2 linked regions of the Neurospora crassa OR74A genome follow. The protein of the gene in region 2 interacts with the protein of the main gene of each other region in a pairwise test. Links are inferred from orthologs where the notes say so. Each region holds a gene or a part of one and is shown on either strand. Other genes may lie near its edges.

Region 1 (3,638 bases), on a different chromosome or scaffold from region 2:
GTCAATGACTCTTTTTTTTTTCCCCAGGAACCACCCATGCCCCGCCAAAAAGTTTCCTGCAGGGCGGGTTAGGGGCAACTTGAATGCGGAGTCCATTCAGCTGCTGGGCGCGCCCCGGGCCCTGGGCTGTTGTAGGCGGGAGGGGACGTCACGCAGGTGGTGGGTAGGTAAGTTACATACATTGAATGAACAATGTGGGGAAGCTGGTGAACACCAGGAACTTCATCGGATGAAAAAAAAAAAAAAAAAAAAAAAAAAAAAAAAAAAAAAAAAAAAAAAAAAAAAAAACAGTCGGGTGGAAGATTTCTGGAAAACACGCCGACTGACGGGAAGTGGTGATGTCAGTACTGGTGTACTTGTGATTGAACCCACTTCTGAGATACCTACTTTCAACGCCAAGCTGAACTCCCGAGAAGCGATGATTACCATAGTGATACAGGGAGGACAGTTTGCCGATATCAATGTTAGAAACCATCAGACAAAAAAAAAAAAAAAAAAAAAAAAAAAAAAGGAAACGACAACAGCATCGGGTTCCTTGGTGAAGGTGTGTTGTTGGAGGCCATCGCAATAATCATTGACACCTCGTCGTCTCCCCTAAACATTCATCTTCGCAGCAGAAAGAACAAAACGCCCTCTAAAACATTTGTGTGTAGTGTACTAGTGCCAGACTCTTTCAAAAACACAGATTTCTTTTTCTTCATATCCCTTTTCTTCTTCTCATCACTGCATCACCCCTTATCTTCTACATGACTTGCAATTCTCCTCCTCCCCATGATTTTATAGCAACTCGAGGTATACATGAAGGCATAGTTTCGTGGTGTTCGTAACAAAGATGTGGTTCGGTTGTTGGAGGTAAATGGGGCGTTTACTCCTCGTCGCCAATCTGTGAATCAGAACCAGTTAGCATCACGCCTGACAGAAAACAACCACCCAGAAAATGACAAACAAAGACATACCTTGGGCGCAAGATAGAACCTCAAGTAGCTGCTAGCCGAAATGTTGTACTCGACCAAAAGGGGCACCTCGTTGGAGAGGCAGATCTTGACCGTGCTCGACAGCGCGCTCGCCTTGCAAAAGTTGACCAGGTACTTGAGCGAGAACGTGAGGGAAACCGGCTCGCTCAACTCAATCTCGATATTCTCGCTGGGCTTATCAACGTTGGTGTGCTGGCGGAGGGTAATGCTGCCGTTGCCAATGTCGCCCTGGCAGCTAAACTTGACGCCGTCCTTGCTCGCCTCAATGTTGACGCTCTCGCTCATGGCCATGAGGTCGGTGGTGATGCGCTTAAACTCAGAAGACGGCATGCTGATGGTGGCCGCGTACTCGGTATCCGGAATGCCCAGGTGCTCCTGGTCAATGTCCATGAGCTTGAGGTCGTACTCGGAGATACGGTCGTTTTCGGAAGATTCGAAGACGAGGTTGAGCACGTCGGGCGCGTCCTCGGCCTTGAGCGTCAGGATGTCCTCGTTCTGGGCGGCGCGGAGCACCTTGGTCAGCGACGTCAGGTTGACGCCGAGCGCAATGTTGCGGTCGCACCGGAAGGGCGAGAAGGTCTCCGTCTTGAGCATCATGGACACGAGCGCGACGTGCGAGTTGTCCATGGCTTGCAGGGCGATGCCCGAGTCGTTGCAGTCGAAGTTGCAGTCCTGCACGAGGTCCTTGATGGCGTCGACGACCTGGACATCATCGTCATCATCATGACAGAGTTAGTGGGGGTCTTCTAGCTGGGAAAGGAAACAGACAGCACTTGACAGGAAGAGGACATGACATACCTTCTTCAGGATCGACGCCTGCTCCAACCGTGCTTCAAGCATTTCTGTTGTTGTGGTAGTCCTCCAGTCAGCAACCCATCACTCCAGTTCTCCAGCTTTTCTTCCTAGTGCCGGGCCAGCGAGCAAGCGAGCAGGCAGCTTCACGCTCAGACAGAGACGACATACTGATGGATGTGAATTACCGAACTCGACGGGGGAAAAAAAGACAAAGAGGGAAGAAAATATGCGCGCGCTGGGTATCACTTTCGGGAGAGAGAGGCGCTCGTGGTTTGACGAAGAAAGAAGAGAGAAGAAAAGATTTGGATTTGGGAAGAGTTATGGTTTTGTTCAAAAAGCTGCAACAGGCAGGCAATGGACGATAAAAAGAGAGGAACCACCAATACCACAGGTGGTGCCGGGACACCCACTTCGCGACTTGACGCGCCTGCTAATGGCAGCTAAACGCGCTGAGCCGGGGTTAGGCTTAATTGATTTACCGCTTCAGGCTAGCTCCCGGTGCACGGTCCCGTTCTCCAGCGCTGTTAGTCCGCTTTCAGGCGCAATCTTCGCGTTTTCAGTGGGAGCTGTCGCCCTGAATCCCCTCTTTCTGTTTGGATCGTGTCTCGACGGCAATGTCGAACCAAAGGTATGCTGCTCACTTCAAGTTCCGATGATATGACTTCAACTATTCGACTCCCTCATTTCTGCGCGAACTCTGTTCTACCTCCATTCTCCAATATATTTTGATTATTACATTATTTCACCTATCTTACACCCTCCCCCAACTCAAAAAAGAATTTGTTACAGAATGCCCGCCCAAGATCGTCTGTATAAACTGTGTAAACGCCGTTAAATTCTGTGTCCCACATTGCTCGCTTGCCTGCCCCAGCTTTCAAATGTTCCCATGGTCTGTATGTCCGTCAAAACGCCATTCTACCCAAAGTTGTTGTTGTTGTTGCTGTTGTTGCTTTTCAAGAAAACTGGCAAGCTGACCTTCTCGTCGTTGTTGTTCGCCCCTCTCTTTTGTCTGCGCGCAATGCCTTGATGCCATGTAAGATTATAGTGGTCAAAGAAAAGAAACCCGAAAGAAAGACAGCGCGAATGCCGCAGAGTTTGTCTGTCGTCATAAAGAAATCCTCGTCGGCGCCGCACTCCTGCCGTTTCCCCCGCCTGGTCCCATGGTTGTATGTCTCTTCGGCCTCAGATTAATCACCATCTCCAACTCCTTCAACATGCCCCTACTCGCTTCCGCCTTCTCTCTCTGCATTGCCCTCATCTCTCTCTCCTCTTTCATTTTCACCAATCTCTCTTCCCTGGTCAGCATACTCCTGGGCCGAGCCGATAGCGCAACCGCCTCAAACACATCCGGCTCGTTGGGACTTGGCGAGGAGTTTCGTGTGGGAGACGTCTCCCCGGTGAGCGCTTTCAGCGCATCCTCCGCTCCGCCGCCGGTTTCGTTCTCTTCGCCGACAGTGGTCAACCCGCTTAGAGAGGTAGCAGGCGAGTACAGCATGCTCATAGACGAAATACGTTTCTCGTTGCGGTCGATTCCCGATGCTAGGGCAGCCTTGCCATCCTCCCAGGCTTGCTGCAGCATCTTGAGGTCTTGGCCAATGGACTCGTATTGCGACAGGAGGTCGAAACCAACTTCAGAGATGTCGTCGGCTTCGTTGAGTGCTTTCTCGGATTCTTCACGCAATAGTGCCAGCTTGGCTTGGAGACCGCGGATGCCCGTCGATAGAGAGTCGAGCTTGCGGAATTGCGTTCGGCGTTTCTCGCGGTTGGGCGAAAGAGGGAACTTGGTTTCGGGGATAGCGGGGAAGCCTGAGTGGTTTTGTTAGCTGTTGTGTGTTTGTAGTGTGCAAGAATACGGGATGAAACTCACTC
Region 2 (4,368 bases):
TACTCACACAGTTACTCGAATCCACATGAACTCCATCGACCTTTAGGATGTAGAGAAAAAGACCGCTACTCCTTCCACTTCCAACCACTCTTTCCTTGCTTCTCAGTCATGGACTCAAACGAAGCCTTGATCTGCGCCCGGACCATATCCGGGTGCTTAGAAGCAAAGACCTCGATGATACCCAATTTGCTAACCATGGGCATCTCATGCATGAGCGCCTTGAGCTGTTCTTGCGCAGCGGCAGGGAGGGGTTGGTCCGACATCTTCTGTCGACCGGGAGGTCGACGCCCACCACCAACAACGCCACCTGGTGCTGTCGCTGAGGGAGCAGCAGTAGTGGCAGCAGCAACAATAGTTGAGGCGCCTGCAGTAGTGATAGCCTTGTTAGGAGGAGAGTTACCTGCTGTAGTACCCTTTGTAAGTGCCTGGAACGCATTGGTTGGTGCTTGAGAGCCACCAGCCTTGGCAGATTTCGAACTGGTGGTGGTAGCGGCAGAGGATGGATGGAGGAGTGAGGATGAGGATGATGAAGTAGTCTGAGCAGTGACGGATGCGGATGCGATCACACTAGATTTTTCGTTACCTGATGAGCTGGTCTTCGACTTCGAAGCCCAATAATCAGTCGAAAAGGGGTCAATGCTGGTTTCTTCGTCCAGGGACTCTGCAACCGACAAAAGGTCAGCATCATTCAAACAGCAATAATATCTCCAGAGGAACGTACCCAATATAATCTCCATCCGGCACTGGTACAGCTCTGGCTTCACTGTGCACCGCTTCTCATTCTCCCAGCATATGCCAGTGCTCTCTGGCTCCATACCGCCGGAAAAGACGAGACGCTGAGGGCCGACATCTTCGGAGTCATCCAAGAAGTCGTCCATGTCCTCATCCATCTCCAAGTCTTCCTCTTCATCATCCAGATCCTCCACATCTTCGCCTTCCTCGTCTTGCCACTCGGCCTCCGAATCATAGTCGTAGTCCAAGGGAAGGATGGTTCGTGAAGTTGGGTTTCTTGCGAGTTTATAGAGACTCTTGACGCCCGGAGGAAGACCACTGATTGTACCGACATACGGTGGCCGCACATCTTGGCTGAATTTGATGCACTTGACTGGTACCGCTTTCAATGCCTCCCGCGCATCTCTGAACTGAGTGTTCTCTGTGGTGAGGTCCATAGCCCTGCTTGAAGACTCTCCATAAATCTCCGTCATGATCTTGCGCACACTCGGATATGGGCGTCCGCGCCTCTGGGTCTTGAAAGGCAGCTGTAGAGCCTCCAAGGGGTCAAACTTTTCCGGTGTCTGGAACTCCGCCCGCTTTCCCTCGGTGTACTCGTCCAGTATCCGCGACTTGGCCTCTCTGGTCTCCTCGTCTACCTCGAAGGGGTTCTTGGCTAGCGTGACAAACTCCTTCACGTAAAAGGGCTTGAATAACCTCCGGTAGGCTTCATTCTCCTTGGCGAGACTCGGTGCATCCGTCATTTCGACATCTTTGCTTTCGACCTTGACGGCAACTGGCTTCTCTTTTGGTGTTGCTGGGTTGATTTTGAAGAGCGATGTGAGCTTCATCTGTCGGCCTCTCTTTTTGGCTTCCTCTTCCTCCTTCTCGCGTTTCTTGCGCTCCTTCTCTTCCTTCTCTTCCTGCTTTCGCTTCTTCTCCTCCTCCTTGCGTTTCAGTTCCTCTTCCTTCTCACGCTTCTTCCTCTCCTTTTCTTCGGCCTTTTGTTGCTTCTCTGCCTCCAGTTTCGCCTGTTCCGCTGCCCTTTTGGCCTTGGCCTCCTCTTTCTCCTTCTTCTTGGCAGCGTCAGCCTCGGCCTTGGCTGCCTTCTCCTCAGGGGTCAGCTTCTTCCTCTTGACGGCCGGTTCGCCTGTTGTCGACTTTGTCGTTGTCGACGCAGCCTTGGCGCCGGATGTCTGCTTCTGGGTAGAAGGCGTATTGGTTGTAGAAATCGTGAGAGGTGCGAGTCGTGGGGGCGATAGACTCGGGGATCGCGATAGACGGTCCAATGGGCTGCTGGCGTCGCTCAATGCAGGACTGGCTTTTCTGGCTCTGGGGGTTGCGGGCCCCGAAGATGGGGGCGGTGATGACCTAACATTTTCCTCTGTAGAGATTGGCGATTAGCTTCACTCGCGTCTGGGGCGTGGGCTGATGTCAGAACGCGGTACTTACTGTCGTCGAAAGAACTTGGGGGTGGAACCTCTTCCCGGAATTGGTCGTGTGACCTCTTGAGACAGGAGGAGTCCTCCTGTCCACTTGTGGTAGTTGTGAACAAAGGCATGGTGGTGTTGCCTTCCCCAGCAGTCCTACTTGGTTGTTTGGTTGACGCGTGCTATTCACGGTCCAAACCGACGCGATCTAGTCTGAAAATGGTCGATCGAAGTTGAGGGGTCCAAAGTTCAGAACAGACAAGGTCCAGGTCCCACAATTAGGCCAGTCGTACATGCGCTGGCGGTGTAAAAGCAATGAACCACTGCTGGTTACTCCCCGGCGTCGTAAAAGCGTTTGTTTGGCTGATGGGAACGGAACCAGCTGCTGAGAAGGCCGGGAAGGTCGAGATGTCGCCGTCGGTGGTTCTTCGGATGGTCCGTCGTTGGGTGAGTTGAAAGGCCTGAAACCGATTGGTGATTCTTGGGTTCTGCAGTGACTGGAGTGCCTGGTCCGCGGTTGCTGCCGCCTGAGCGGGACGCGTTTGGCGACACCCACCGTCGCGCCTTCCGTTCAATTTAGCCCAAGTGGATCCCTACCCGCGCCTTAAAGTGCCCCACTTCTAATCTACGAGAAGCGGAGCGTGATTTCGCGTCAGTTCTTGAGAGGGGTGTGTGGCTTTGCTGCTTTCATTCAATTAAAGTCGCTGTGGCTGGAACTACGGCAGATGTTCGAACAATCGATAACCGTGGATCAATGAGTTCAATGTAGGTACCAAGTCGGGTATGTTTCACTGGCATTGATTGCAGGTTCAGTGGTGAGTGGAGTGATCTTTGCTGCTGTTGTTCGATGCTTGGAAAGGGATTGGTGGACCATTGATATACCTGCCTGTTAGTGATCATGAACTTCCACGGTTGTTGTTCATGTACGACTTCGAAACCCTACAATGACTGACCTCGTGGATTTCATCTCAACTATCATTTGCCTGCAAAATGGCTGCCTGTCTTCAACTTTCAGGCAGTAGAGGTAGTACAGTCAATTTCCATCTCGGGCATCATGGCATCACTAATACCAGCCCTAACCCTGAACTCTTCCCATCCTGCGTGCAGGTTCAACTCAGTTCAGTTGCAAAGGCCAAGAAAAAGTGAACGTGGCAAGGTTTCACCTTAGGTAGATAGTCTCGTCGTGTGTGGCTTGACTTTAGGCGTGGTGCATTGAAGGCTGCCATGGGTTCCGTCCTGTGTCTTGTCCTTTCGTCATCCTCTTCCCAGCTTCCCGATTCTCCTATAACAGCGCGTGTTATGGGGCCAAGTTCTCCAAAGGGTGTGACCATAGCTCTACCTATAGCTGGCCTTATTATATGGCTGTAGGGACGGAACTACCGGCTTTGGCCCATTTAGAAACTTGGATCAGAGGCCGTTGGAAAACCAAGAAATTAGTAAACCGTTCTATTATACCATGACTTAATGAGCTTGTATGGTAAGCGTTAAGCGCTCCAAACAGGATCGGCAGTGTAGACGCCGTAAGGATGACAACTAAGTTGATGCTTGTCACATATCGCATAGTTGTTGTAGCGTGTATGTACGTCTCATCGGAAAATGTAAAACAAAAACCAGATCGCATTCAATGGTATCTCAAGGATGTGTGTGTGTGTGTGTGTGTGTGTCCCAAAGCAAAGTATTATTTTTCCGAATAACCCTATCCAAGCAATAATTGGCTACCATCGAACGACCTGTGGTGTTGTGCAGTGCATTCGAGACAGTGACCGTGCCCGTGCCTGACAACCTTTTCCCTTTGGAAAAAAAAAAAAGAAAAGATTTAAAAAGAAGAACAAAACGCAAACACCCATGCGCCTAGCTATGCATGTAGTTTCAGGCACAAATTCCCATGCTGTGTATCACAGGTTCCGGCTGTTTGGAAAGCCCAAAACCCGACGTAGTAAAAATCTCCTTCTTCGATCCGCTCCCGATTCTGCTTGCTTTAATCAGGGTTGGCGATGAACAAGCGACCGGACGAGTTGAATGTCATTGTCCTCTCATATGTCCTTTCGTCCACGCTTCCTCTCCTCTTGAGCTCCTCGGGGTTCTTAACACTCTTCTCGCGCGTCAGAGTGGCGTTGAGTAAGCTGTTGGTTGCCAGCTGTCGTTGTGGGTGGGCCTGGAGGTCAGGGACAGCATCTAGACGCTCGCTACTGCTCCCGCTGGCAAAGCTCAGGGCCTTTCCGCTAGC

What was found.
Region 1: the proteins of cac-1 (region 2) and pcn interact in binary tests that used the Schizosaccharomyces pombe proteins (3 or more experiments, as listed by UniProt). The link is inferred for Neurospora crassa OR74A from reciprocal best matches to the Schizosaccharomyces pombe genes pcf1 and pcn1.

Annotation. Positions count from the first base shown.
Region 1 is NC_026501.1:9,446,930-9,450,567, reverse strand, and holds pcn (proliferating cell nuclear antigen), read right to left. Parts: upstream 2,174-3,638; 5' UTR 1,938-2,173; intron 1,817-1,937; 5' UTR 1,815-1,816; coding exon 1,773-1,814; intron 1,677-1,772; coding exon 957-1,676; intron 884-956; coding exon 866-883; 3' UTR 511-865; downstream 1-510. Other genes in the region: NCU09240 (hypothetical protein), read right to left, coding at 2,875-3,575, 3,637-3,638.
Region 2 is NC_026505.1:5,173,173-5,177,540, forward strand, and holds the start of cac-1 (chromatin assembly-1 protein), read right to left. Parts: upstream 2,889-4,368; 5' UTR 2,273-2,888; coding exon 2,164-2,272; intron 2,096-2,163; coding exon 722-2,095; intron 662-721; coding exon 66-661; 3' UTR 1-65. Other genes in the region: NCU04199 (hypothetical protein), read right to left, coding at 4,120-4,368. UniProt on the Schizosaccharomyces pombe protein: Acts as a component of the histone chaperone complex chromatin assembly factor 1 (CAF-1), which assembles histone octamers onto DNA during replication and repair.